Alligator mississippiensis: one gene and its partners. The protein of the gene in region 2 binds, or shares a complex with, the protein of the main gene of each other region. Links are inferred from orthologs where the notes say so. Each region holds a gene or a part of one and is shown on either strand. Other genes may lie near its edges.

The links.
Region 1: the proteins of CUL3 (region 2) and KLHL3 are in contact, whole or in part, in a crystal structure (PDB 4HXI), measured with the Homo sapiens proteins. The link is inferred for Alligator mississippiensis from reciprocal best matches to the Homo sapiens genes CUL3 and KLHL3. Residues at the interface, in NP_003581.1 of Homo sapiens: Ile44, Asn49, Ser50, Gly51, Leu52, Ser53, Phe54, Glu55, Leu57, Tyr58, Arg59, Tyr62, Thr63, Leu66, Lys68, Met118, Asp121, Ile122, Met124, Tyr125, Arg128, Val129, Gln133; in NP_059111.2 of Homo sapiens: Pro73, Tyr74, Ala77, Met78, Asp82, Met83, Ser84, Glu85, Glu92, Ile93, Lys94, Asp95, Pro125, Ser128, Leu129, Gln131, Met133, Arg136, Asp160, Val161, His162, Thr163, Thr165.
Region 3: CUL3 (region 2) and KLHL21 share a complex: the UniProt entries of both Homo sapiens proteins name them as parts of the BCR(KLHL21) E3 ubiquitin ligase complex. The link is inferred for Alligator mississippiensis from reciprocal best matches to the Homo sapiens genes CUL3 and KLHL21.
Region 4: CUL3 (region 2) and KBTBD4 share a complex: the UniProt entries of both Homo sapiens proteins name them as parts of the BCR(KBTBD4) E3 ubiquitin ligase complex. The link is inferred for Alligator mississippiensis from reciprocal best matches to the Homo sapiens genes CUL3 and KBTBD4.

Annotation. Positions count from the first base shown.
Region 1 is NC_081832.1:72,935,453-72,942,714, forward strand, and holds the start of KLHL3 (kelch-like protein 3), read right to left. Parts: upstream 3,005-7,262; 5' UTR 2,895-3,004; coding exon 2,881-2,894; intron 1-2,880. UniProt on the Homo sapiens protein: Substrate-specific adapter of a BCR (BTB-CUL3-RBX1) E3 ubiquitin ligase complex that acts as a regulator of ion transport in the distal nephron.
Region 2 is NC_081830.1:51,714,469-51,721,451, reverse strand, and holds the start of CUL3 (cullin-3), read left to right. Parts: upstream 1-3,973; 5' UTR 3,974-4,229; coding exon 4,230-4,295; intron 4,296-6,983. UniProt on the Homo sapiens protein: Core component of multiple cullin-RING-based BCR (BTB-CUL3-RBX1) E3 ubiquitin-protein ligase complexes which mediate the ubiquitination and subsequent proteasomal degradation of target proteins.
Region 3 is NC_081836.1:18,625,844-18,633,211, reverse strand, and holds the start of KLHL21 (kelch-like protein 21), read left to right. Parts: upstream 1-4,347; 5' UTR 4,348-4,593; intron 4,594-7,368. Other genes in the region: PHF13 (PHD finger protein 13), read right to left, coding at 716-942, 1,493-2,045, 2,793-2,894, 4,153-4,191. UniProt on the Homo sapiens protein: Substrate-specific adapter of a BCR (BTB-CUL3-RBX1) E3 ubiquitin-protein ligase complex required for efficient chromosome alignment and cytokinesis.
Region 4 is NC_081825.1:228,510,924-228,517,745, forward strand, and holds the start of KBTBD4 (kelch repeat and BTB domain-containing protein 4), read right to left. Parts: upstream 3,006-6,822; 5' UTR 2,825-3,005; coding exon 2,803-2,824; intron 1-2,802. Other genes in the region: NDUFS3 (NADH dehydrogenase [ubiquinone] iron-sulfur protein 3, mitochondrial), read left to right, coding at 3,294-3,339, 6,746-6,811. UniProt on the Homo sapiens protein: Substrate-specific adapter of a BCR (BTB-CUL3-RBX1) E3 ubiquitin ligase complex which targets CoREST corepressor complex components RCOR1, KDM1A/LSD1 and HDAC2 for proteasomal degradation.

The DNA of each region.
Region 1 (7,262 bases), on a different chromosome or scaffold from region 2:
TTTCTCAAAGAGCATCTGTATTTTTTTAAAACCAATTACCGCTGTGTAGTTTTGCCAAAAACACCCCACAGATCTTTTGCCAAAACCAGGTCAGATCAACGCTGAGCAGAAAACTGCAATTCTGACGTAAGCTAGGTAGGTTGCAAGGTGCGAGCCACTCAGACCAAAGCCCCAAATCTGCATACGTTTATGTACATGCACAACTTGTACCCGTGCAACTGGCCCTGCTGAACAGCTTACATGTGTAACACACGAGTACTGGCAGGTCTCGAGCTTGGGTCTGAAGCGATCTGAGGTCTCGCCCTCTTAGTTGATTTAAAAATAGGTTAGTTAACAAAGGGAAAGAGGGATCCATTTAAACTCCAGAGGCAACCCCCTACCCCCATCACACACATCCTAACAGAGGTCATATCTGAGACCTTAATTATTTATTTGGGTTTTTAAAGTCTTCCAGCCAAACCTCTGAGCACATGCATGAGAGTAACAGCAGAACCGCCACCAAAAAAAATACAACCTATCACCAACCTGATACATTCACCGTCCGACACGCTGAGATCAAGTACCTGACGGCATCATTTCAAGACCTATTCATTGCGTTTCTCAGCGCACACTATGCAGCTTTTGTGGCGTTTCTGTGACGTGCTCTGGTAGAATGGGGAAGCCTGTGAATAACTCAACTGTCTCCTCCGAGAGGGCAAAACTCCAAGTTACTGGTTCAGATCATTAAAGAGCCTCGTCTCCCAGCCCTAAACGTCAGCCATAGTTTGTTAGTTTGGGTAATTATATTCCGCTGACCTAAATCCCCCTGCAGTTTCAATTAGATGCTTCACTTTCAGAGGCTAAGCAGACATACAGCTTGTGACACCTCTTCGTTCCCTGAGGCCAGTCTAAAATGACGCTGAGAAAAATCGGAAGGGTCACTCTAAAGACAGCTGTGTTCCTACCGTGTCCTGGACAACCAGGCCCCAAACTGAACAGAGATTTTTGAACACTACCGTAACAGAAGTGATTAACGGTGATGATGACAACAATCCCTTGCCCGTAAGGTCAAATGCTGGGATAAAGAAGCACAAGGCTCCAGCTTCCTCTCCTGTCAACTCTCTCCACCACTAGATTCATGGCAAGAACTGGAAGGAAATGACATGAATCTAGAAAAGAACGAGTATACGATTCGAAGATGCTAACGGTGAAACATCCGCAGCTGGCCATTTAAACACCGACTGGAAACACTACATCTAGGATGCATTAAACAGCAGGACATCCAGGCTGAAAGTTGCATTTTGAGCAGTAAGTAAGTACACAAACAGCAGTTGCGATCCTTGAGTCACCTGAGGGTAGAAGCTCGCCTTTCGGTATTTGGGCAAAAAAGTGGCTACAGGGAGAGTAACTGGTCCAGAAAGTACAGCAGGGTTTGACCCCCCCAGTTCACTTCAGATACAGGGCACTGGAGAAGCAAAGTTTTCTCCAACCTGCAAAGGTTGGCAGCTTCCTTCAGCAAAGGCTTCCCTGCCCCCAGATGCAGGAGGTCACAGGCACAGCTCAAAAAGGAAGCACTCGGCATATCCTGTTTTCAGAAATGACTAGCTTCACGCTTGGTTTTGAGCGGGAAGGTGTTAAGACTCTGGCGTAAGAAAGTCACAGGGACAGCCGAGGAAAAAGGCTGGGTAGAGCACAGTAAATATTTAAGATTCCTCTGGTATCTATGAAGTTCCCAAGCAGCAATAACAAGGCTCGGTACTTGTGCTAGGTTCAAGGCGCTGTTCTAGCCACCGTACAGAAAACAAGGAGTTAAGGGCCGATTTACCGTATAAAAATCAAGCCCGTAGCTACTGGGGTCTCCCCCGCCTGTCATAAAGCACGGGTCACTGGTTTTTGCTTACAGAGGACGTGTAAATAGGCTGGCAGGCGCTTTGCAAACTTGGTCTACTTTTGTTCATTAACTACAAATAGCACTAACGAGCGGACGGTGGGGCCAGAACTGAACTCCACCAGCAGAAACACAAGCGGGGGAGGAAAAAACAAAGAAAGCAGAGCGCAGGATTGTTTCGCGGCGCGGATCTGGTGGCATGAAGTTCGCGGCTCTGCCGCAGCAGGTCAAGCCACGTGGCCTGCCAGCCCCCCTCGGGCTCCTCGTCACCTTGCCCGGGCTAATAAATGCATCCTAAGGGCTCGTACAGCAACCCTGTTCCATGCCCTGCAAAAACTAAATGGGTTATTGCAGCTCACGGCAGATGGAGGAGCTCCTCGCCGAGGATGCTGCACAGGCTCAGAAGGATGCAGAAAATAACGTACATCTGGGTGAAGGGGGTGGCAAGAAGCCCCTGTCCACACTGAACCCCCCCCCCCAGCTTCAGAGCCAACCGTGGCCCCCGAGGGACAGCAAGAGTCACCGGGATCAACTTGTGCCTGCTGCGCCCGGTGCCCGGGTGGCATCTCGCTGGCTAGCAGGCGGCCGCGGAGCAGCGCGCGGGAGGGGAAGCCGCGCTCCATCTCCCCTGAAACTGCTGGGCTCCTTTGGGTTTTAATTTAAAAAAAAAAAACCCCGTTTGTGGCTCATGTCCCCGGCTGCAGCTCACGTCTCCTTGCACACGCACGCTGCAAGGATCTGAAAGTGGGGGGAAGGGGCTAAATCTCCCCGTCCCCACACCGCTGAGACACGCACACACCCCCACGGAGACGCCACAGACACACATTCCCACAGACCCACACACACCTCCCCCACACACACCACACACAGCCACCGCCTACACCCCCACACACACCCCAGCAGCTGATCTGGGATCAGCTGCCCAGGGAGGGGGGGGTGAGGGGGCAGTCCCCGTGACCCGCGCGCACACACGCACACGCACACACACACACACCTCCCCCGCCGTCACGCACCTCTCCTGGTCCATGTCGGCGCGGGGCCGGGCGCTCAGGGCGCGCCGAGCAGCATGGCCGGGCCGGCCCCTGCAGCAGCAGCACGGCGGCGGCGGCGGTGGCAGCGGCGCTAGTAGCGGCGGCGGCGGCTCCTTACCCAGCGCTCCCTGCAGCCCCGCCCACCCCCCCCCACCGCGCCCGGTCTCCCGGCAACGCCGCCGAGCACCCCTCCCCCCGGCGGCGGCGGCGAGGCGGGCTGCGGGCCCGGGCCGCCGGAGGAAGGGGCAGCGGGCCCCCGCGGCCTGCAGCCTCGGCCGCAAGATGCCCGCCGGGGCTGGGGGAGCGTCTCGGGCCCAGCCTCGAAGGACTGAGCTGAACTGATTTGGCCCAAAACACGAATTAAAAACCAACACAAACCCGCCTGCATCGCCCCCGGGCTGCTCGGACCGTGCCGCCGGCCGGCCCCTCGCCCGCGGCCGCCTGGCGCGTCCCCGCCTGCCGCGACAGCAGCCCCAGACCCCGGCAACATGGATACACGGGTCAAGGGTGGGTTTGGCCTCGCCGTAGAGACGCGGGGATGCAGGCAGGATTTCACGTGGGAAGCCGAAGAAGCGCGAGGCTCCCCACATGTCCCCTTGGGAAGGGGACTCTGCTCCTGCTCGGTATTTCCAAGTGCCGTCGGGTCCCATCGCGTGGAGCCCCTGGCGCAGAGACCACCGGGGCGCTTTGCTGGGACCGGGGGCACCACCTCGGCCCCAGAGTCGGGTCAGGAACACGGGAGCAGGCCCAGGATCGTGCAGCTCCACCGCGTACAAGGCAAGCACGGGGGTCGCGGGGCTGCACCACGCGCCCCGGCACGAGCGCCGCTCCTCCACGCACGCTCGCGTCGCAGACAGAAGGCAAAGCGTGAAGCGCAACCAACTCCGAGACGTACGAGCTTATTATGCGCGTCCCTGAAATAGTGTGCAACGTGCAACTCTGCCCTGCCTTCGGCCGGACTTCAGGCTAACGTGGTTTACTACCTCCCCGCGCACTTTTCAGAGGGCAGCGTTCAGCTTTCCAAAGGTCCGTCTTCATGAAAACACCCCCAGACACTGCAGTGACAGGCAGCGATTGAGATCATTTGGAGAATGCTTCCCCCAATGCTTTTTGGCTGTTGCTTCTTTGTCAAATAGGTTGACAGTGCCAAGGTATTTCAACACCGGAAGTCAAGGCCAAAACTTTACCTGTAGCTTAGCTAAATGTTACTCTAGTAGAGCACTGGAGACGCTAGCAGTTTATTATAGAGTGAGTGTGTATATGCTGTATGTCCACTAATTTTGGCTGTTAATCATTTCCTAACAAGAGACCAATAGTGTACATTTCATCCATTCAGAGTTACGTACGATATGCATATCCTGCCAGGCCAACTTATCTATTATTTGATCAAAGTTTCTTCTAGACTCCAGATGGTAGCAGTCACAGTTTGAGCCCTCCAGCACTGGTTTTTACAACACCTCCCATTTTTATTCCAGCTAGTGTAACTGCTGGAGTGATTCTTATAATCATCTATGAATTTTCCAAAGCTATTATTTCCCCCATCATGTTCTGTAGCAACAAGTTCCAAAGGTTAATTGTACAGAGCACAGAGGGGAATTTGCTTTCTTGTTTGCTTTTCCATTCATTCAGCGCTCTTGTAGTGTGGGAAGAGATGTGCAGAACTGTCCAAAAGCCTTTGCCAAGCCATGTAATACTCCATCTCCTTTGTACAATTATATAACCCTAGCCTTTTAAACTTCCACCTTAATAGGAGGCATTCTATTGGGTACCTTCAGTCATTTTTAACTAAGTTCAATTGCTTTTAAATTTTATCCATGATAATAATTTAATAAATTGTCCTTCTACAGTGCCTTTTACCCAAGAACCTGTGCAAATATAACAGAGGTAAAACTAGATTTTATCATCCCTACTCTAAACTTAGGCATAGGGAAATGAAGTCAGCCAATGTCACATAGTATATGAAGGAAGGCTGGGAATAGCACCCAAGGCTCCTGCCATCTAGTCCCACAGTTTAAACAATTTTGCCTGTTTCCTTATAGACAAACACAACCAGAATTTCATACAGGATTCTGCAGACCCCCGAGGAGAAAGTTGCCCAGATGTTCCCTTTGGAAGGGATCAGTGGGAAGATTTTAACTCAGATCCTACTAGTGCCCATTTAGTCATATGCTCCCAGAACACAGCCCAAAGCTAGTAAGGGCATAAAAGCAAACAGCAAAAGTAACAACACTAAAAGCGGTAGTGAAATGAGAGCCCTTGTCCTTCTCTTTGAATGCAAAATGGCAAAGCTCCTCACTGATGACAGAAGGAGCACAGGTAGGTTCTGTGCCAAGCCCCTGAGCAGCATAGAGGTATTACACAAGTGACTACTAACTCACAAGGTACTCGCCTCTCAGTTTAAAGGCCACTGACAGAAGACCTCACCTCATGCACCCTAGTCTAGTGCCAATGACAAGACTAGAGCACTCGATGGGTAGCAAGTGCTGGGCTAGAACAAAGATACAGTCAAGGAAGCAGTGATTGTCTTTATAGCAGCCTTGTAAAACAGTCGTGCCTGGCACAAACTTTGCCTGCTACTTCCTACAAGATTGAGGGGCATGAAAATGAAGATATTTTACTCGCTATCCAGAAATCACTCATGCTTCGTGATGGGAATTTTCTCATGACTGTTCCAAGTAATTAGCAAGTCAAAGAGTTTGGAGGTTTCCTGAAGCATGCGTGTAAAGTTGGCACGTTCTGACTCAACATGTAGCACCGATTCCAAGCCTGCATCTTCAAGTCTTGGCTGCTCGTCAGGGTATTTTTATTTAGAAAAGTCTCTCTAACTTCTGGCATCTGTGATCCCTACCAGTAAAGAATCAAATCGGTGAAAGTCTGATGGGTCTCACTTAGATTGTAAACTTTAGGGCAGGGAGCATCAGCTCAAAAGCAACTATTGAAACCAGCCAGTTGATACTGGGGAGCCCAGCAGGGGATCTCTTCGACTTAATCTTCAGAAGTCTTCAGCCCCAGCAGCTCCACTGCACTTCAAGTGGAATCAAAAGTGATCAGTACTAAGTGTGAATGGGTCTGTTTGAATGCCCAAAGCTTCAAGCATCAAAGATCAGAGACATTTGAGGTGGAAAAAAACCAGAACAAAACCTAAATCTTATGTTTTTACTCCCTTTGTAACATGCTTATCACTTCTTTTGAGTACCCAAAGATATAATTTGTACTACTGTACAAATTTGCTGTAATTTAGAGCAGTCAGCCTATCTTTTGTCTTTTTCCCAGGATAAACCAAGGTAAAATGTTCAGCAAAACAACTCCTACTAGGATTAGGATATCCTTGTAAGGCCCCAAATTAGCAGGACACCCTTTGTGAGAATCCAGTAGGGATTCACAATAAGGCTGTTTGCAGATCTGGGGATCCATGTGTTTTTGGCAGCTTAAATGTCAAAGATAAACGCACTGGATTCATTACTGCACCCTTAAGGTTTTGACTCAGTTTAATGATAAGAATGTAGGCCTCATTTACTTATCTCCAAATGTCCTGTACTCTTTCTACACAGGCAGCATGGAAAGATCCTGCGTAACCCTAGACTCAGCTGCAGCAGAAAAGAAAAAAAAATGATGGTAGATGAATTTCTTTTTTAAGCTGCGAATGTTGCCCTCTAGCGGCAGATGTACAGTTATGTTAATCTTGCTTTACCACTAGCCTGCATATTACCTTGACAAAAATGCAACTTTTCTGGATTCTAGTACGCAGTATCAACCCTTTGCTCTATGTTTAAATGGTTTGCGTCATGCTGATACTCCTCCCCACCCCCCAAACTCTTCAAATTTAGAACATTATGAAGACAAGGAATGGCCACAATTGGAACCTGGCTATGAATTTTAGAATGCAAAAAAGTTACTGCTCTGCTCGCACAAGGTAACAACGAACAGCTAAGCTGCAAAACCATTACTACACCTTGATTTAAAAAAAAATAAATAAAAGCAAGTGTCCTCACCCACAGCCAAACACGGCACAGATGCAAACTGCCTTCCCTAAATCCATATTGCAACTATACCGGGGTCATCTGAAAAGGAGCGTCGCAGGAACATGTTACACTAGAGAGTAAACAAAGTAAAAATTAGCAGCAGTGGGAACACAAAATATGGGTGGAGGGGAAGGGGTAGATAAGGTGTGTGAATAAATACCTAAACAGGGTGAAATGCTTCAGGAAAAGGCGATGGAGGTCCATGTTCCTGTAAATGGACCAAAGGAAAGTGAAACAAACCAAATAATAAATCAACACTATGCTGATGCTACTAAAAGTGTTCTCTGTAGAAAAGATTGCCCTAATGGTTATATATTTGCCCCAAACTGGACATATGGGCAC
Region 2 (6,983 bases):
GGGAGGCCACCAGCACCCCAGGTAACTTGCCACATGCCAAAGTGCACGTGGCATGGGCATTCCCCAGGAACAACTAGTGGCACAAGGTGTGCCCTCGCTAGTTGTCCCCAGGGAATCAAACGTCCATGCACTTCTTGTCCTACTTTCAGATGATCCTAAGATTCTACTTTTTTTGGACCTTGCTTGCCCACCGTATCCAGAACTCCTTTTGCAATCAAGGAGACTTAAGTGTTTAAAAGTGCCATTTGCTCCATTGGGCCATATCATATTCTTCCAGATGTGACACTGAGAGCAAATCTGCTTGAATCAGGACTCCAGTATTGGGTCCCAAATTATTATACATTGAAAACCAGTCTACTTCTGTTTAGCTGACTTCAGTACATATATAGCATACACTTATTTTGCTGTATCCCCTTTAGATTTTTTTCAGTTATGCTTTATTTTGTGCTGTTATCAACATGGTTCTTTTCATAGACTTTAAAAGTCATGATTGAGAAAACAATTTATTTGTTTCTACGATCACTATTGTGTTAATCTTAATGCACCACATGGAATTAATGCAAAACCTAAAAAAAAGCATCTTATTCAAATAGATATATAGTTAAAAAAGAAATGCTTTTTCTATCTTTATATGTTACTTTAACGGGAAAGGAACCTCTCTCCTTTTCACCCACCATGCAGGAAGCAGCTATTTTGTTCATTTTTTTTCAGATGCAGAAAGTTATAAAATGGGGCCTACTTCCTGAAACTCTTAACCACAGCTTAACTTAAGCATTTGGGTGTTTGCAGGGGTTAGTCATTCTTTCTTGCTCTCATAGACACTTCATATTATTTTTTCCTTCTTACTCTGGAACAAAATATTGAAATGTGTCTGATTTTCATATAAAGTAAGGAGAAACATAGCATAGAGAAGGTAATTTTTATGATTCTTAGGAGCAATAGTTTATTGCCATTCAAAAACTGTGAATTCTGCAAGCAAAGGTTCTATTACAAATGAATTCAGTATGTTACATGTTGCAAAACTGGTGGGGAGGGGGGAAGAAATGTGCATCTGGTTTCTTTAATACCTAAGAACTCTTTGGTATGATACCGAAAGCCTGATTTCCCCCTCCCTCCACCTCTCCCTTCAAATTATACTTCCCATTAGCTTCAACCATGCAGTACTGAGTCATCAAATAGAAAAATTAACTTGAAAAAAAGAAGATACTGTTTTTGGAGATTTCATTGAAATTGTTAATTAAAAATGCAAATAATGTGTTGTACTGGAGCCAAGCTTTTAGAGCTTCTGATGCTCTTCGCCTGGCTCTTAGTATATTGTATAGTATTAGTATACTGTATTATGTATGTATATGTATTATTGTATAGTATTATACACACACACACACACACACACACACATATATATACTATTACATATTAGTATTTTTTATATTTTTTTTATACACACACACACACACACACACACACACACACACACACACACACTATTATATAAGGTTAGTCCAAAGTTTATTTTATTTTAAAACTATAAAAATTATGAAAAGGTCAAAACAAAACTGAAATGAAACTTTTCAGTGAACTAGGTCTCTGACTTATGGATCAAAACAACTTTGAATTATTATTAAAATTCATGAAAATGTGAGATTGACCTTTTTCTCTCTGTTTGGGATGAGAAAAATCTTAGAAAATTCTTGTATCTATGTGAGCTGGTTGTGCCTTTTGCCAGTTCATTTACTGCAAGCTCCAGCCATACCTCTTTCAAGGTTCAAGAAGACAGAGTCCTTTATTTGGAATCATTTTATAATAAAAGTTTGGGCTGCTCTGCCCACTCACTGTATTCAACAAAGGAAATAAAAGAAAATAACTGTGCCCTTACAGTTCAGGCCTCAAAGGTTCCTCGCCTTCTCTTAGTAGAAGCAACCGCCTCCAACCTGCAGTTTAAGGCAAAGATCTCCCTCTAAACTTTTTGTATTCCTTTTAGACAAAAGACTCCTTGTTGAGCCTTAATTTGGTGGCATTTGTTTATTAAGCTCCAAAATGAGATGGAAATTCAAAATGTATGTGGATCTTTTATTTTCATGTAGGCAGTCAGTAGGAAAACTTTGCCCCTCCTACCATTTGCCTTGTCATACCTTGTGACTGTTTCCTATGTATTCTGAGAACGGCTGGATGGTTTTGCCTGGTCGTGCTGAAATCATTAAGACTGTTGTCTTAATCTTGTTGTGCTGTTGTTATATAATGTCTTCTTTAGGTATATAAGTAATTCTGAACAGGAGGTTTAAAATATAGGAACATGCATAATCCCAAGGAACTGTAGTGGTTTGGAACTGAAAGAGACAAAAGAGCAAGTTACTTGGTAAAGAAAAGTTATAGGATGAACACATATATTACTGTGCTCTTAGTATACATATTGCACTGTGTGGGCAGTACTAGGAAAATGGTTGGAGATCATAGGAGAAAGAATGCTGCAGTAGGCAGAATTGAGTTTGGAAGTCACTAGGTAGGCCTCTTATTCCTAGCTGTGCTATATACCACTTGTGTGGGATCCTGAGTGAGCCACTTAGGCCCAAACTTCAAGCACCTGCTAGTTTTTAGAGTGACAAACACAAATATGAGGCCAACCCTATCTCCCCAAATGTACAAAATCTGATATATACAAGCTGTCCTTCCCCATTTTGTGTGTGCCAAGGCTCCTAATGGGCCTTACACACAGGGGGTTCCGGCTAGAGGGTCTTGCCCCTCTGCTCAGGGTCAGACTGAAATTTGGCATAGGGAAATTTTACCCACAAGTCAGATTGACATGGACTGTGAGGGTTTTTTTCTTCCTCTGTAGCTGGGGGTGTGGTCCTCTTCCTTGGATCTCTTCAGCTTTTTTAACAACTTTTCCAACAAGGACAGCGATGGCCGTGGTCACCTTGTTTAAAGATGGCAGGTTCAGGTGTTATGTTTTGTGGTTGCATCAAGGTTGACTGTAGTTTTGCTAAAAGGGTAGACAGTAGGATGGTTTAGATAGAGATGATCCTACTTCTGGCAGGGGGTTGGACAAGAAGATGGCTGGAGGTCCCTTCCCACCTTTTCTCTATGATTCTCTGATTATAGCAACTGCCCCATTCTCAAGGGACCTATATTTAGCCTCATGCACTCACAGGTGTTGCCTCAAGTGGTGCCCTCATTTCTCAGGCGTTTCTTGTGACGAGCAAAGAAAACAGCAAGAGAAAGGAAAACAAATATATTGCGACATAACTCGATGAGTCTCCCAAAGAGTACAACACCCATCGGTGTCATGACTCAGGCTATTCCTACGCAGCACAACACAAGCCTATTTAGTTTGGGTGGAGCACAGCGCTCATTTGGTTTTAGTGCTTCCGATACCAGATCCAGTGCATTTTGAGCTTGCTTGGGTACCGCAGCAGTGGTATGTGCATGTGCACCCTTAGCAGGGCATAACTGACTTCTGAGGAACTAAATTTAGCCTGCAAAAAACAGGAAAGGTCCTATATGTCTGTCCAGTTATTTTCCCCATCTTCCATAGAGCTATAATTGGCTTTTGCCTGATTCGCCTTTCACTGGGTTTGACCCTGTGTTTAAGACTACGTCTGCCTTAGCTTCCTCCCCACTCTGCAGACTTCCCACTGCTGTTGCTGCCCGGGAAGGCCCGGCCATGACAAACTCCCAGCGCCGCAAAAAACAGCTCCCAACAAACTGAACTTTCTAGGACTCCTGCTTTTCTTTGCAATGAAACCCCGGGAGCTGGTGCACTCCCTTGACTCCCGGACCTGGGGCTTTATTGACAGTGAAAACCGCACGGTCCGATAGTACCAGATTTGACGACGCAGCGGCCGGGCCAGACCAGACACCCCCCGGCCGGGGTCGCGGGCCTAGTTGAGGGCCGCGACAGTCCCGCGGAAGTCTCGCGAGAGCGGGAGGCCCCGCCCCCTCCCCCCGGCCGCGCTCCGCCTGCTGCCGCCGCCGCGGCCGGATCTGAGCGCGCCTGGCGGGCGGGGGCGCTCGGCCCTGCGCACTGCGCGATGTTTGTCCGCCATCGCGGCCGAGGAGGAGGAGGAGGAGGAGGCTGAGGGGGCCGCCGCCGCCGCTGCCGCTGGAGGAAGGGGCCTGCGCCGCCGCCGCCACCCGCCCCGCTCCGCCAGGGCCCGCAGTCCGGAGCGAAGGTCGCCGGAGCCCGGCCCGGGCCCACCCGCCCGCGCCCACAGGCGGCTCCGCGCCCGAAGATGTCGAACCTGAGCAAGGGGACGGGCAGCCGGAAGGACACCAAGATGCGGATCCGCGCCTTCCCCGTGAGTGCCCGGCTCGGCCCGGCCCGGCCCGGCCCGGTCGGGGGAGCGGCGGCCTCCGCGGGGTCCGGCTGTTACGAGCCCGGCGCGACCTGTCACGGCGCTCGAGCGGCCGCCGGAGGCCGGCACCGGCCCCCCCTCGCGCCGCGGCCCGGCCCGGCCCTTTCCGCGGGTGTGGGGGCACCGCCGCCAGGCTGCCCGGGGGGAGGTGAGGGGCCGCGACTGCCCGGGCCTAGAGGTGGGTGCCAGTACCGGCCTCCCCGGCCTGGGCCCGCGCCCGGCCTGGGCCCTCCCCTCCGCCGCTCTGACAGTTGTGCCCACTAAAGCGAGTGGGGCTGCTGCGCTGCAGCCTGCCCGCAGGCCTCTCTGTGCGGATGTGCCTGTGCCTGTGTGCCCGTGGGTCTGCGTCTGTGCGTGTGCCTGTGTGTACGTATACCTGTGCGTACCTGCACGCACCTACACATTAAAGAGGAGACTCCATTGACTTGAATTTCAAGCTTTAGGGGAGGGGTTGTGACCCTAGCCTAGATGGTGAGTGGCAAAGGGCCCCTAGGTGTTGCCTGCACACAGAAGTTGGAGCTCCCTGGTTGACCTCACTGCAGCAGCAAGTCTCATGCTGAGGAACATTTACTCGCCCCTAAGGCTTGCTGATTAAATAAAAGAGTTGTTTACATTGGCAGGCTGATGAAGTTCTGCTGAGGAGTCTGATTCAGCTCTAGCTTCTCTATTTTAGACTCGCTTTCTAATTATTGATAATTATATCAACTATAAATGTCAAAGGGGACCACTGCATCTGAGAAAGTTGGGTATCTCTGCTGAAGAATGGCTGGTGGTCACCAAAGAAATTATTTGCTTAATAAGTCATGCTGTTCAGATTTCTTGTTTTGTAGTGAAAAAAAGCAATTCCAAGCGGCCATGGCCGTTGTAAACAATTCATAGGGATACATCATAAAAAAAATTAGAAGTGGCAAAAATGTGACACTTAGATTGCAGCAGACTATGCCAAAGACAATGTACTACACAAGTTTCCTAACAATCTGCTCTGTTCAGCTATTAAAATCTCAGAATGCTTGTAACTAATTGTAAACTAATAGGGACGGGACATGATACTAAGCTAAGACTATTTTTTACATTAGCTGACGGTTCTTGTTACTGAGCATGTAAAGCTGCGCTTGTGGGTGAAGAATGTTCACACACAGATCAGTTCTCGCAAAAAATTGAGCATTGTCATCATTTTCCCCTTCAGAATGGTTCTTGTTAGAACATTGTTATAATTTCTCTTCTCTGCAGTTATTTGAAGAATGACTCCATTAAGATTCTTCACAAAAATTAACTTCCACCAAAGAAAAACTCTATTAAGTATACATAGATATTGGGACCTGCACATTTCCAAAGTAGAAGCTGACATCTTTTGACAGAACTTTTTTCAAGGCTCACTATTTAGAACTGATTTTGATTTCCAAAACCAAACTGGATCAGATAAAGGGGCTTGAAAGTGAAAAAAAGAATATGTACCCAAATAGTTGCTGTTGAGGGTTTTCTATCCTTACCTGTGTAATGTTAAAGTTACTACTTTGTGCAAAGATTTGTGTGTGTGTAACTTTACTTATGTGAGTAATCCAGTTGACTATTCATGTAAGTAAAACTATTTGTATTTTCAAGATTGGTATCTGTATTTAGAATTTACTTCATTTACCTTAAGCTACCAATCTTCACTGTTTTTACCACCTCTTATTCTGAGGCATCTCTGTTTGTGATGTCCAGTGTTGGTGCTCTGCTTGCCATTTAGGTGTCTTTATTACATCTCCCATTTCCTTTTTATTCCTTTCCTGCTTTTTTGATTTAAGTTTCTCAAATGGAAAGACTGCCTGCTTACTATTACATAATTTTATAAAGGTAACTACCAGTAGTGTGGTTACTGTCTAGTGCAGCAGTTCCCAAACTGTAGGTTGAAACCCTGAACGTGGGTGGCAACATCATCAGTGGATGGGATGGCAATAAACGTGCCTCCTGAGATTTCTGAGCCCAGTGGGATGCGGGGTGCAGCCAAGCCGGACCAGCTGTGGGCAGGAGCTTCCTCTGCGGCCCAGTGGACGGGACCCATTTTGGGAGTGCTGCATCACCATATCCGCCAAGGTGAGACACAGCAGCTGCAGTGGCATGGAGTTTTGCCCTCACTGCTGGCAGATAAGCCAGGGGTGCCTCACCTGGGCAGCTGTGGCAGTGCAGCACTCCCTCTCATACCTTGTCCTGCCTACTGGACCACGGGGTCCCTGGGGGGAGAGGGCAGGGAGCCCCAAGCCTGCCTACAATGGGCAGCCCACATCCCTGCCCACCCCCCGGCTCCTCTCCACAGGGTAGTGCTGCCTGGAGGGGGGGGGGGGGGGGCGGGGGCGGGGGCGGGTGCAGCTGGGCTCGTACTTCTCTCTGGCCACACCTGCTGTCGCCTCCTGTGGGTGGCTGCTGGGGGTTGGGGGGGCAGGGAGCTGTGGGTCCTGGCCCTGGGGCACTGTGGGGGTTGGGGAGTGAGGGGCACCTGGGGTTGTGGAGGCCTGGAGGCTAGGAGTGAGGGGGCATGCTGAGGAAATGGGGTCACACTGAGGAAAAGTTTGGGAAGCACTGGTCTAGTGCTAGTCCTGGCCCTATAACTTATTCAGTATTTTTTTTCTATAGTATACATGGGTGAATGAT
Region 3 (7,368 bases), on a different chromosome or scaffold from region 2:
AGGAGAGGCTTTATTCTCCCCTCAAACATATCAGTACATGGAGCAACAGGAAATCATTGTTTTTTACTGGAAGCAAATGCTAAAAACCACAGAACTCAACGAATGCTGCGCCTGCTGCTCAGCCCTGTCAAAGCAGAGGCAGATCACACGCGAGTTCAGTGAGCATTCACACTCACTGTCATGGGCCTTAGGAATACTTAAGATTGTTATATATGGACAAATGGGTGGTGGGGGGGGGGTCTAGTATTACATTAAAATTAAAACATATGGCCAGTAGCTTTTCAGACTTGTCATACAGAGCTTTTCTTCCTCCTCCCTCTTGGGAGGTGATTGACTTAACACATAAAAGTCTTGCAGTTTCTTAGCACTTTCCCAGTGGGATGAGAATTAACATGTGGCAAAAGTATTACACATTCCCAGACATCATCCCCTTTGTAGTCTTAACTGTTCAAAAACCCCTCTGTACCTGGGGTGCTTCATCTGTCTGCTACAGCTAGCCAGTGTCTAGCAGCAGTTTTGACCAGCAGGCCTCTTCCAGCCTTGGCTGTCAGAGACTTTCTGACACCTTGTGCCTGTTAACATGGACAGGCAGGCAGCCCCCTTTTGCCTGAGCAAATGCAGTTCAAAGGAGCTCTCCTAGACCTAGTTGGCTGGAGTTCTGTGCTTTGCATGGTTAATCTGCTCAAGTGGCATGCTGGTCAGGCAGCTCCCTTGGCTAGTCCAGAAAGCGCCTGCGTGAGCCCATCCGGGAGCGGTTTGAACGGCGAATATCAAACTTGGAGTCCCGACACTTCTGGCAAACATAGACTTCCGGGACATTTGATTTGCGGATCTTGGCGCAGGAGAGGTGGATCCAGGTGTGACATTCATTGCACTCAATCATTGGCCGACCAGCAAAAGGCTTCATGCAGAAGCAGGTGACTAGGTCCCAGGAATCGTCATCTGGAAAGACAAAGAGCAAGGTAAAACTACCTGCCTCCATGTCGCTACTGCATCTCACCTGTATCTCAACTCTTCCCTCTTGGACATAACTAGATCTTGAGGTTTTGAAGGCTGATATTGTATGCAGGCCTCTCCAGGGCATGCTGGAAGCTGCAGTCTGCATTGCCACCTGCACTTTGCTCTTGTACAGAATCTCAGCAGTGCAAGAGGACTGCTGCCCCAGGAGAAGTGCTCGGCTCCAAAACCAGCTTCTGACCCGTGTCCAGCTTTACATGAAAATTCATCCCATGGAAAGGGCTCTAGCCTGAGCCTGGACACTGTAATTCAGGCCACTGGTCACTGAGCAGTAAAACTCTTCTCTGCCCACCTTCTTTTGAAAGAGCTAAGAGGCTTGTGCAAATGCTAATGAATTTAGCTCTCAGCCCCCTCTCCCAAAAGATAAGTCTGCATTATTCCAGATTCTACAAAAAGACTGTGCATGGGATCACTAACAGTCTGACCCACTGTCTCACAGAACATCTCCCACTATCCCGCCCCCCCAACCACATACCTGAATCCACCATGATGTCCTCATCATCTCCAGTGCCATCTTCATCCCGGAACACAACCTGCTTGCCCTGCCGGATGACTGTTCGCTTGCCCACACTGTGTATCTCCACAGCCTGCTCAGAGTTAGCAGCAGCGTAAGAGACATTCGAAGGACTATCAGAGTCCCACACCGAACAGTGGTCGGTCACGGACTGAGGGTCACCCTCAGATGAAGGGCTCATGGGGGTTTCTACATAAGAGTCCTCCACCTCGAGGTCCAGGAGCTTCTCCTCATATTCTTTCTCCACAGGCACTTCTGTTTCCCTTCTCTTCAGTTTTTTCTTCTTCCTGATTTTATCAATTTGCTTTCGTTCTGGCAGGAAACTGCTAGGCTTTGCTCGCTGGAACAGGGAAGCATATGGTTTTGTTCTCTTGAGCTGACTAAAGTTTTTTCTATTCTTGACTGGCAGGGAGACAGCAGAAGGGAGGTCATTGAATCGGGCATCCCAGCTATCACTGTCAATGGTCCCACCAGTGCTATTAGGAGGACTGGGGCTGCTCCTCAAGGGTGTCTCCTATAAAATATTAAGAGAAGAAAAGTAAGCATTGTTTTAGAGCTGATACCTATCCACCCTATAGTGTTTACCATTTTTTATTCTAGTACAGCCTAGTGTTTATGGGACTTCAGTCAAGTGCTGTGTGGCAACTTCGAAGAGTTAAAATTCCCACTCCCTTCCATATGCTTTGAAACCTAGGCCTCTGCCAGGAACTGCAGCCCAGGAGAAGCCAAACAACCTCAAAATGAGTAAGCTCTGAACTCTATGGCCCCAGAGGTCTGGGAAGGGGCACAGACACTACATACTTCAAATACCTTAAATGTAACCTTGTGGCATTGTACAAAGAGTGCCCACCACCCAAATAATTCAAGACTGGATTTTTACACTTTGTTCAGCCTCTTCAAGCCAAACAAGGTTTGAGACATTTCACTTTTGATTAAAGAGAAACACATACATATCATAAAAGACCAACTGTTGTACCTTTAAAACTTTCTAAACGTAAGGCTATTTGCTGGCAGTTTCTTTTGGACTATCACATTTCAGTGCGTTACATTTGACCCAGTAAAAGCTTCCACAGAACCCAACCCCTTTAAACACAAAAATTAGCGTTTAGGTATTTATGTTGCATAGATCATCACATTATCTTAGTTTTCTGAGCTGCTGCCAGGAAGACCTTTTCCAACACATGCAGGAAAACCTTTAGCCTCCCACCAGTAATAGCTACATTGGCATGTACCTGTGATAAAATAAGGGGCTACACATTACCTCTTGGGGGTAGGGGATGTAACCAGCATACGCCAAGACAAATGTGCAAAACTTGTTAAAATCTTCCACGGTTCTGTGTCTCTTGGAGCCTGGGGAAAAATCCTGTTAAAAAAATAGTGACCAGGACATTAACTTGAGATTTTGGGGAAGGGCAGTGGGAACAACTTTGTGCAACTAATTGTCCATCTCTGAGAAAGTAATAATAGTAATAGCTCTTATTCTACCATTGCTCTTGTGTAAGTGCATCTTTCATGAGCCAAAATGCAAGGCACTATGAAGCCATCCTGTAATTTAGCACATTTATCTGGTCTCTCGGCCACTATCAAATTCTTGGGTGTTTCTAGCTCTTCTTCCAGCTGTTTCCACATCTGTCCCCAGGGTGGCTTCTAACACCTTCAGGGTCTAGTACTGTATGGCATCACTTTCCTAAAAACTGGTACTGAAGACAGTGAAGAAGCTAAACAGTTAGCAAAATGTAGCTGGTCAGCTAGTGTGGAGCCCGTCTCTCCTAATGCAACCAAGGAGTTCAACTCGGGGATTGCTGTTCTCTTCCTAGTGCAAAGTCTCCATCATGTCTCCTACCCAGACCTCAAAGCTGCTGGAAACGGCACCATAACTGCACATGCAGCCTCTGCTAGGACACAAGGAGCTTCTTCGGGGCTTGCACGGACACCCGGTCTCGAGACCCCGGCGCACCATCTAGCACCCAGGCGGTACAATGCCTGCCCCTACCCGCGACATGCAGCGGAGCGGGGGATGTGGGCGCACCCCATCGCCATCCACGTTCAAAACTAAACTGCCAAGCGCCAAGGCAGGCTCCGGGCACCACCCGCCGCTGCCCCCGCCCCAGCCCTGCGCACGGAGCCCCGGGAAGCCATGCCCGTGTCGCGAGCGCCGCTGGAGGCGGCCACAGGCTCCGCCCCGCCGGTCCGTGATGGAGGAGGGCCCGATCCGGGGCGGGGTGGGGCGCCCCGGGACAGGGGCGCGCCGGGGTGCGGGGCCGAGGGGAGGCCGGAGCCGGGCGCTGCAGTCCGCATCGGAGCCGGGGCCGTGCGGGGCGCGGAGCCCCCCGGGGACCCGCGCGGGGGTGGAGCCTCGGTGCGGGCCCGGATCCGGGGGGCGGGGCTCTCCGGGGGCCGCGGCCGGGCCGGGGCTCGGGGAAGGGCGGCGGCCGGGGAAGGAGAAGAAGGGCTCGGGCTCTCAGCGTCCGCACCCGGGTCTCCGCGGGGCCCCGCCGGGGCGGCGGCGTGGCCCGCTCCGCCAGGCGGCGGGGGCACGGGCCGGGGTGTGGAGCGGGGTCCCGGACCTGGCCCGGCGGGGCGGCGCGGGCAGCGGGGCGGGCAGCGGGGGCCCGGCTTACCTCGGGGGCGAAGGGGGAGGCGCAGGAGTCGGAGTCCATGTCCCGGCGCAGCCGCCCGCCAGCGGGGCAGGGGCAGGGGCAGGGCAGGGCGGGTCCGGGTCTGGGTCTGGCTCCGGGGCCTGGCGCGGGGTGCCGCCAACGAGCCGGGTCCAGCGCCGCCCGGCAGAGCCGCCACCCTGGAACCGCACGGTACCGGCGGGAGGAGCGGCGAGCAGAGGGGCGGGGCGGTGCCGTGCGGGCGCGCGGGGGCTGCCGGGAGCTGTAGTCCAGCCGCGAGCGGCCCCGCGGAGCTCGGCGGGCGCGCGGCGGCTGCCGGGAGCTGTGGTCCTTGCGCGCGGCGGCTGCCGGGAGGCGCAGTCCGTGGAGAACGACGGCTCCCGGCGGGGCCCGCGCGCCACAGAGCGGCCGGCCGAGGGGTGCGAGGCGGCGGCGAGCGGTGAGGTGGGCTCGGAGCGGCCTCCTGGGCGCGGCTCGCGCTCCTTGCAGAGGGGCAGGGGCTGGTCTGCGGGTTTCACGGGGAGGCCGGGGCCGCCCCATCCCCACGCAGGCTCCTCGGTGCGCCCGGGCCCGCGGCCCTTGTCCAGCGCGTCACGCGACCGAGCCCCGGCAGCGAGCCCGGCCGCGGGCCACGAAGCCGAGCTGGGGCCTGGAGCACGGCACAGCCCTGAGCCGTGCGCGGGCGGGGCCATGGCACCCACTGTCCCGGGCTGCGCGGCCCGCGAGCATCGCGCTTGCCTGCCCCGCCCGGGATGACTGTCCTAATAAAGAACGAAGAGGTGTAAGATGGGGCAGCGGGGCTGACGAGGAACCCGCGGATTGGGAAGCTGTTTTCCAAACGGTCTGGCTTCATCTTCTTCACCCTTTCTCGGTAGTCATATCCTCTGTGCCTTGAAGTGGCAGAGCTGCTCCACGTGCGGAGAAAGGTGTACCTGAAGCCATTGCCTATTCAGAAAAAGGAGAGGGTAGAGAAGAGGCATGTGTCAGAAACATGTGCTTGATTTCAGCTCACAGTCAATAGATCTAAGTTTAGTTTCTGCAACTTTGGCAGCATCCCTCAAAACGTTTACATGCAGTTTTATTTTGCATAGGAGATGAATCACATTAGTGTAGTGCTGAAATTATGTTTGATGATGGGAAGGCACTGACTGAATCACATGGCATGCATCATTCAAATTACATGAATTCTGAGCTCTCAGCTTACATGATTGTAGCTTGCATTTCTGGGCCAGTGTAGCTTTCTTGCCACATATTGTGTTATAGAAGTAATATGTCATCACTCATTTAAAGCTGGGAGTGCTGTGGTTAATAGATGTATTAGCACTGGCAAGGAATGGTATTGCCTTGTAACTGTGTTTTCTGTATATTTGTGTATTTATTTGCCTTACCTGATATGGGTATTGTGTGCCAAGACTCTAGTAAGTAACATTTGAATTTGTCAAAGAACGAACGGAGGCAGTGTGTGCATCCTGAGTCTTGAACAATAATCAGTGTACAGACATTGGTAAAGAATGCACTACTGTATCAGGGTACTTTCAAAGAACATCTTAATTTGGAAGTAAAATATGGAAGTATTTATGTAAAAGGAAGCTTATTCCTTCTGAGGAATGACAAAGCCCCCCCCTTTTTAAAGAAATGCAGGATTTTGCTTCTTGTTTTTTACAGATACATGCCCAGGCTGTAGCCCTGTAAGTACTGCACCAAGCCATAGTGGGCAGAGAATGAGAGATTCTGTTTGACTGCTTTTGGTCAATTATGTGCTATAACCGTCTTAAATCCAATATTATGTGCAAGGCCCAGCTAAGGCAGGGATTGGCGACCTTTTTGGGCAGAGTGCCAAAAACACTGCAACCTTGACTTGTAAGAAGTTGGAGTGCCAGGGGTGGACAGCGGTAGAGCTGTGAGAGGTCTGATTCTTGTTGTGGCAGTACAGCCTTGGCCCCTTCCCTGCCGCCACCCCTGAGATGCACATGCACCTGCCATGGGCAATGAGCCAGGCTGGGGCTCTGTGAGACTCTATGGACCCCTGTGCAGCTGCTGGCAGCCTCCCTGCTGCCTGGTGTGAGCAGCCCCATAGCAGGCAGGAGGTTGCAAGCAACTGCATCCCCAACCCAGCTTGTTGCCAGTACCAGGTTTATGCACACCGGGGGGGAGGGGGGGGGGAGTTGTAAGGTGTCCGATTCTTATTGTGGCAATGCAGCCCTGGCCCCTTCCCCACCCCCCACCTCCATCCCCATCCCCCAAAGGCATGCATACACTCACCGCCTGCAGTGAGCCAGGCTGGGGCTCCATGGGCCCAGAGGCACGCATACCAAACATAATGCCTTCACATGCCACATTCTGGCATGCATGCCAAGGGATGCCAACCCCTGAGCTCAGGTTCATTGTTGCTGACAGCTTTTCTTACAGTTGTATCTGGAGCTGGATTTAGAACAGACAGAATTCTAAACAGAAACCTCATATGTACTCTTTGTTAAAAAAAAATTAATTGAGCAGTTCACATTTAGTATCTCCGTGCTGGCTGGCAAAAAAGGAGCTCATTTTCAGTAATTGTGTCCAATGATGACAGGATAAAAACTAAGCATCATTTCCTTGTTCCTATGTTGGCATTATCTGCAGAAAGGTGAATGATCATTTCAGCTGTGGATACTGAATTTCCCTCTGCCCATTATGGGATGGGAGGAAGGCAACAGTTCTTGTGGAACTGGATTTGGGCAAAGTGCAGACATAGCAAAACTCCTGTGTTCCAGCAGACCCCACAAGTGCTTTAGCACTCTGTGTGTCTGCATCATTTACTGATCATGTGTGTGCAGTTATAGACAGCTCTGGACCTAGGATCTACTTGTTGCTAGATCATGGTGGTTCAGATGGTATCTTCCTTTGATCTGTGTATTTTCTTAAGGTGATAAAGTGAAATAAGAATGAGCATAGGAAGGCATAAATCAGTTCCACGTTCATGGGAAAATGAAGTTACTCAATACGGGGTGTTATATGGTTACAGGAACGCTACTGAACAATAAATAGCCTTTCCTCTTTGACATTGCTCTTTTTCCAAATGAGGTTGTTCAGCCATGTTGCTGCTCTTAGAAGAAAGAGTGCAGGTTCTTTGAGAGTAATTGATAGTATATCTCTTTTGGGTAATGTTGTGAGAGGCTTGCACTCACTGGTGTGTTTTTTAAGTACTTTGGGCTTTTTCAGAACGTTCTTCCCATTTAATCA
Region 4 (6,822 bases), on a different chromosome or scaffold from region 2:
CTCTTCCCAGTGGGGAGGTTGGGTTGGGGCAGTGCTCGGGGCAGGCAGCAGTGGCGCTGGGAGGGGGGCTATGGCGAATGCTGGGGTGGCTGTAGCCCACCCCACACCCCCCCCATGCCGCCACTGCCTGCCCCAAGCACGGCCCTGGCCCAGCCCCCACACCAGGGAGAGCCTGGCATGCCCCCAGCCCCAGCCCGTAGCGGCAACCCACCCTCGCCCCACACACAGAACTGGGAGCCACATGCCCCCCATGGCTCCCCCAGGGATGTGTGTAGTGGTGGGATCCCCCCCACCCCCAGATAAGCCACACAACTCTGTCCTGCACCCCTCCCTGGCTAGACAGCACCTGCCCCTGCCTCATCCCCACTACCTCACTCACTGCAGGGGCTTCAATCTGCCCCCCCTCCACCCCTTCCCTCCCCAACAGACATACCAGCTGGATGCTATTCGCCAAGCTGCCAGGCTGCATGCTGGCAATTCGTTCAGTATTGGCTGATATTGGCCATTGGTATCAGCCCAAAAAACCTTTATCGGTGCACCCCTAGAATAGGCCTAAAAGAATCGGGACCTGCTGCTCCATGTGATCAGGGGCAACAGAATACGACAGAGGAAACACTGAGATGGCAGTTACAAGCTGAGGTTCAATGAGCCCTGCTGACCCAGCAGCAGATGTTAATAGAGTGCTTTACCACCCAGGACCAAGGACAGCAGGACCCAGAGGATACATCCTGGAGAGAACTAGGGGGCTTCATCCTAGAAAAGATGACCCAGAATAATGACCTTAAGGCTTTTCTTAGAGGCACCTGAGCATGCAACAGTGGCAGCCCAGTGGAGCATGGATACACAGGCATCCTGGTTGGGAACCTTCAATCGGAGAAGCTCAAGACACATACAGAGTAATGATATACACAGATGTTCAGGATTATGAAAAGGTTAGAGTCCATATTGCAGCAGTTGGGAATCTTCAAGGAGAGCCAGCAGCACTGCTTCTGATTTAAGACAAACCAGGCACCACTATGACACGCAGGTGGAAGTCATTCCTAGAGAACAGCAATGAGCTTGAGGAGGGCCTCAGGCCACACCCTGTTATAGAAACCAACAAATTAAAGATACTATGAAAGGTCTATAGGTAGTACAGAAGAAACAAAGCTGAGATGTGATATATTGGCAAGGGGCAGAGGCTACAGTTAATAGCATCATACGGAGCCAACATGCAGAGGGAGCTTATTTCTACTGATAAAAGGGTGAAAAAAATCCTACAAAACTTTATCAAAGTCCTAAAATCACTCAGATGAGAAACTTGCCAAAGGTATAAGAATGGGATGCAGTTTGTGTAGAGTCAAATATGAAGCACATTCTGAAGAGCCCATGCCCAACCTAGATGGATTAGATAATGAAGCATATTCAAAGAACTACTCATAACAACTAAGAAGGTGCAATTATCTGTGCGCTCCCCCACTGACAGGGAGAAGTGACATGACAGAGTAGTCTCTCTCTGACAGAACAAAGATTACACGTGGAATCCCAGCAGTTGGCAAAACAGCTCCTCTAAAGAGGAGCTGTTGTTAAGAAGGGCAAAAGCTACTTGCTCTTCCTTCATATACTTCCTGCTAAGCTGTTGGATAATTCTAGTGTCAGCACCCCAGAAGTTTCCTTTCAACAGAGTAGGGCATGGTCTCATTTTTAAAAAGTGTGTTTAAACTTGCTCTAAACTCTTCCATACTACAGCAGACTAGATTTCCAGCCCTACCTGTGACAGTCAGTATCATTAAGACTAAATTACTCCAAATCCAACACTATTTAATGACTTCAGTGGGACCAAGATTTCACCCAAGGAGTTGGTAAACACTGTGCAGTCTCCTCTAGTTGAAGGCTCACATTCAATTGCTCAGCTCAGTCCAGAGGGTTAGAAGTATTCTTGGGTTCTTTGCTAAAACTAAATTCACAAGCAACACTTACTATCATCTAGGCTTGGAAAAACAACTCCATCCCATCACTGATGACCTGGCCTCGGTCATATGCCTTTGTGACTTCCTGGTTGAACTGCAGCAGTGTCACACATCTGGCCCTGAAGCCATCTCATATGAAATTTCAATAAGCAAAGAACACACCAGCACTCTCCTCCTCTGCAGGGAAGCTACTGCAAGCACAACTGTGTCCTCTACACTAGCCTAGCAATTCAAGTTCAAGGTCTTGGTACCTTATCTTCAGTAAATTCAGCAGCCTGAGCTTAACATACCTGACAAGATCCCCTAAAGCTCTGGAATGCGAATGAATCAATACCTTTTGGCTAACATAAAATGCTCTACAATAGAAGTCGCATTCACTGGGGCAGGAGGCAGTTCTCTCAAAGGCTGGTACCCAACTCTAGAACAAACTCCACCAGGAATTAAGAGCAACAAACCTCTTGCCTTCATCTTAAAGCATGAGATTCCCCCTTGTTAATCTTACCTTCTCCAAAACAAAAAGTAAAGAGCTGGATGTGACGGGGATACCAGGAGTACAGGCATCGCGCACACAATTCCCCCCTAGCAAAGGGCAGGTTGGAAAGAGCCAGCGGGGAGGGAGGGATGCCAACCGTATCACGTGATGCATGACTTCATGGTGGCCAGGCGCTGCGGGGGCCAGGCCCCTTAGCAGAAGCCCCCGGGCAGAACAACTCCGGGCAGCCCTTGTATCGGCCCTTTGAATAGAAACGACTCGGCTGGGGGGGGGGGAGGGGGGGTGGCGAGGGAACAGCAGCGTCCGACTCCTGCAGACCCGACGCCGGGGGCACCTGCGACTCCTCCCTGCCGCTCCTACCTCTTCCTCCCGGCCCAGGCATCAGCTGCAGCCTCCTCCGGGCCGCGGCGGGAGCTCCGCGCCTCTACAGGCTCGGTAACAGCCGCCCTCTGAGGCGTCTCGGAGCCTCCCGGGCGGGCCCGTCCGGGCACTCGCCTCTGACGGCCCCGGCCCCACGCCCAGTCGCTGCCCGCTGAGGGGCCGAGGAGACAAAAGGGCGGACCCGGCGGTGGGCCCCGGGTTCCTACCTGCAGCCCCTCCCTTCATGCCGCCGCCCGGGCCCGGGGGAACCCCACAGCGCTGCAGCAGCCGCCGCCCCCGCCAGGCACCTCACGGCTGCGATCCGCGCCCACCACTTCCGGCCCCGCCACCGGAAGCCGCCGGGGGAAGCCAAAACGCGTCGGACCCCACACTTCCGATCCGCCGCGCGGGGAAACGCGCGGCACAGCTTCCGCTTCCGGTCCGTGCCCTTGTGTGCCTGTGCCTGCGGTGCGGTGCGGGGCCGGGCCGGGATGTTGGCGGCGGCGGCGCGGGGCCTGGCCCGGGCTGGGCTCCGAGGTGAGGCGGGGCCCAGGGCAGAGCCCCCGGGGGAGGAGGGCGGAGTGGGGCAGTCCACGGGAGGAGGCAGGCCCGGGGTGAGGGCGTAGTGGGGCAGTCGCCCTTCCCCTCCTCTCCGTTTTATTCCTGTCAGACCTCCCGGCTGGGACGCGCCGCAGCCTCGCTGGCTCAGGGTCATTCCCCGACTCCTGCTCCTCTGCGCAAGTGTATCCGCCCCTCTCTTTTTGGTGGCGGTGCGCCCCTGGCCCCGCTCACACTGCCCTTTCTTTGGCTTCTCGTGGGCCCCTCCTGGCAGCGCTTCTCTTTTCTGTCGCGGCCGAGCACAAGCTGTCAGCGCAAACTCGGATGTTAAACTGACTGGCCAGGGAGTCCCGGGGTTGCTGCCCGGATGCTTGTGGTGTGAGCTGATAAAAAACTAGGATTCCGGAATAGCCTAGGGAGTGGATGAATGATAAAAAGGCTTTATTTACTACAAGTATTCAAAGTCAAATGAACCCAAACCCAAACAAAGGCCAGTAATTAGCTATAAGGTGATGATTTCTCACCAAATAGATGACGAGAGATGGTCTGTTTCTTCTGGCTTCTCGAGATAGCTGGGGTGCAGCTGCGGTTCTTGTTAGAGAGATCTTTCATTCCTGAAGTGCCTGCCATTAGCTGTTTTCACTTTGTTGTTATACTCTTAGTCCAGCATCTTCAAAGCATTCTTTTGGTTGTGTAAATCAAGAGAGTCCCAAGCAGTAATTGACAGGAAAATCCTGTTGATCAAACTGCTTGTTATTGGTTATCAGAAAGTTCCAGTTTGAATGAATGACCTTTCTCAGTGATGAGAGATCAATTTCTACTAAGTTTGGAACATATCAAGAAACTGATTAACTCCCAGGAAAAACACAAGGTTTTTGGGAGCGTCTTTGGAAAATTAAGGGAACCACTAGACAAAACAGAAATAAATCAAAAGACATCTATCATATATGGAGAATGACTCCTGTACAAAACATGAGTTAATTGCAAGAGAAATATTTACCAATCAAGGATAGACCTTTCACATGGTTACATGCCAGACAACTAGGAGTCTGCTTGTAATCACCATGAATATAGTAAGGTAAGCTGGAAAGGATACCTCATTATTGCTTCCCAGATGGCATTGCCATGAACTCGCGTCCTCTTGCACTATGCAGTTAGCATCAGTATTTTGTATTTTAACTTTGTGTGTAGGCCCCACTTTAGCATGAGTTTCAGAGTTATCAGTGGAGGCCAGATTTGGTTTCACAGATCTGAACAAGAGACACGATGGAGGGACTGGACGTGTTCAGATCAGCAGATTCTGATAATCTCCACCTCAGAGTGCTGAGGGAACTTGCAGAGGTCATTGCGGGACCCCTGGCACAGCTTTACGAGCACTTACGGTGCTCTGGTGAGGTGTCAGAGGACTGGAAAAAGGCCAATGTGGTCCTCCTTTTCAAAAAAGGGAGGAAAGAGGACCCAGGAAACTATAGGCCTGTTAGTCTTGGAGAAGCTCTTTGAGAAAATTATCCAGGAGCACATCTGCAAGGGACCAGCAAGAGCGATTATGCTTAGCAGCAATCAACGTGGGTTCATTAGAGGCAGGTCCTGCCACACCAACCTGGTGGCCTTCTACAACCAGGTCACAAAAGCAGGTGTCATGGTGAACGTAGTCTTTCTGGACTTTAGGAAGGCCTTTGACACTGTCTCTTACACCAGCCTCATTTAAAAAATTAGGCGACTGTGGTGTTGATGCCTACACAGTCAGATGGGTCGCAAATTGGCTGGAGAGCCACACCCAGAGAGTGGTGTTGGATGGGTCATTTTTGACCTGTAGAGATATGGGCAGTGGGGTTCCCCAGGGCTTGGTCCTCGGGCCTGCGCTATTGAATATCTTCATCGGCAACTTGGACGAGGGGGGTGAAAAGCACCTTGTTCAAGTTCGCAGATGACACCCAGATGTGGGGAGAAGTGAGTACGTTAGAAGAGGGGGACAGGCTACAACTAGATTTGGACATGTTACAGAGGTGGGCGGATGAGAATAGGATGGGTTTCGATATGGACAAGTACAAAGTGTTGCACCTGGGGAGGAAGAACCAGCAGTATACCTACAGGCTGGGGAACTCTCTTGTCGTCAGCATGGAGGCAGAAAAGGATCTTGGAGTCATTATTGATTCCAAGATGAACATGGGCTGCCAATGTGGGGATGCAGTCAGGAAGGCTAACCACACCTTGTCATGCATCCACAGATGCATCACGAGCAGGTCCAAGCAGGTGATCCTCCCCCTCTATGCGACATTGGTCAGGCCACAGTTGGAGTACTGCGTCCAGTTCTGGGCGCTGCACTTCAGGAGGGATTTGGATAGCGTAGAGAGGGTCCAGAGGAGGACTACTTGCATGATCAGGGGCAGCAGGGTAGGCCCTATGAGGAGAAACTACAGGACCTGAACCTGTTCAGACTACACAAAAGAAGCCTGAGGGGGGATCTGGTGGCCACCTGCAAACTTGCCAAGGGGGACCAGCAGGCAATGGGAGAGTCCCTGTTCCCCCAAGCACTACTGGGAGCTGTAAGGAATACCGGCCATAAGCTGGCTGAGAGTAGGTTCAGGCTAGACATCAGGAGGCACTATTTCACAGTCAGGGTGGCTAGGAGCTGGAACCAACTTCCTAGAGAAGTGGTGCTTGCCCCCACCCTGGGGATCTTCAGAAGGAGGCTAGACAATCACCTAGTCAGGGTCATTTGACCCCAGCATTCTTTCCTGCCCATGGCAGGGGGTCAGACTTGATGACCTGCTTGGGTCCCTTCTGACCCTACCAACTATGAAACTATGATGCCAGCCAGGCTAACAGTTGGGGTCTTCTCATGATTTTTTGCCTCCTGTGTTGTTTTTTTTTGTTTTTTTTTTTAATGTTTGATCCATCATCTAGCAACTCAGTACATTCTCAGCTACGCTGGTTTTTGCTTTGATCTTAAACACAACAATATGATACTAGCCCCCTTCACATATTAGGAAAGCACCATGTCTGTCTGTCAAGTTTGTCAACCTGTAAAAGTTTCTCTTTAACTGGAGAGAAGTATGTGTTTGGGCTATATGTGATGATGCACTGCACCACCTTGCACCCTGCCCCACCCTTTTCAAAATCCTGTATTCACCCATGGTGACTTGTACCTGTCTGCAGAGCACACTGGGGCTTTCTCTTGGGTTCATGAAGTTGATTCTGTTGATATTGAGGGGGGCTCCCAGATGTCATTCCTGTGTGCTGGGTAGGGGAAGGGGATTCACCTCTCCAAGAGGAGGCAACAGAAGGGAGACAGACTCCTTGCTGAAGAGAAGGGACTTGAACCTTGTTTTTTTTGCAGGAGAGTGGTTATGGGTGATTTTACACAAGCTCTTTCTCTTTATAGCTGCTACATGCCCTGCAGTGCGGCAGCAAGCACGTTGCTTGGAGAGCTCCACAACAGAGACCCATCGTAAGTCTGTC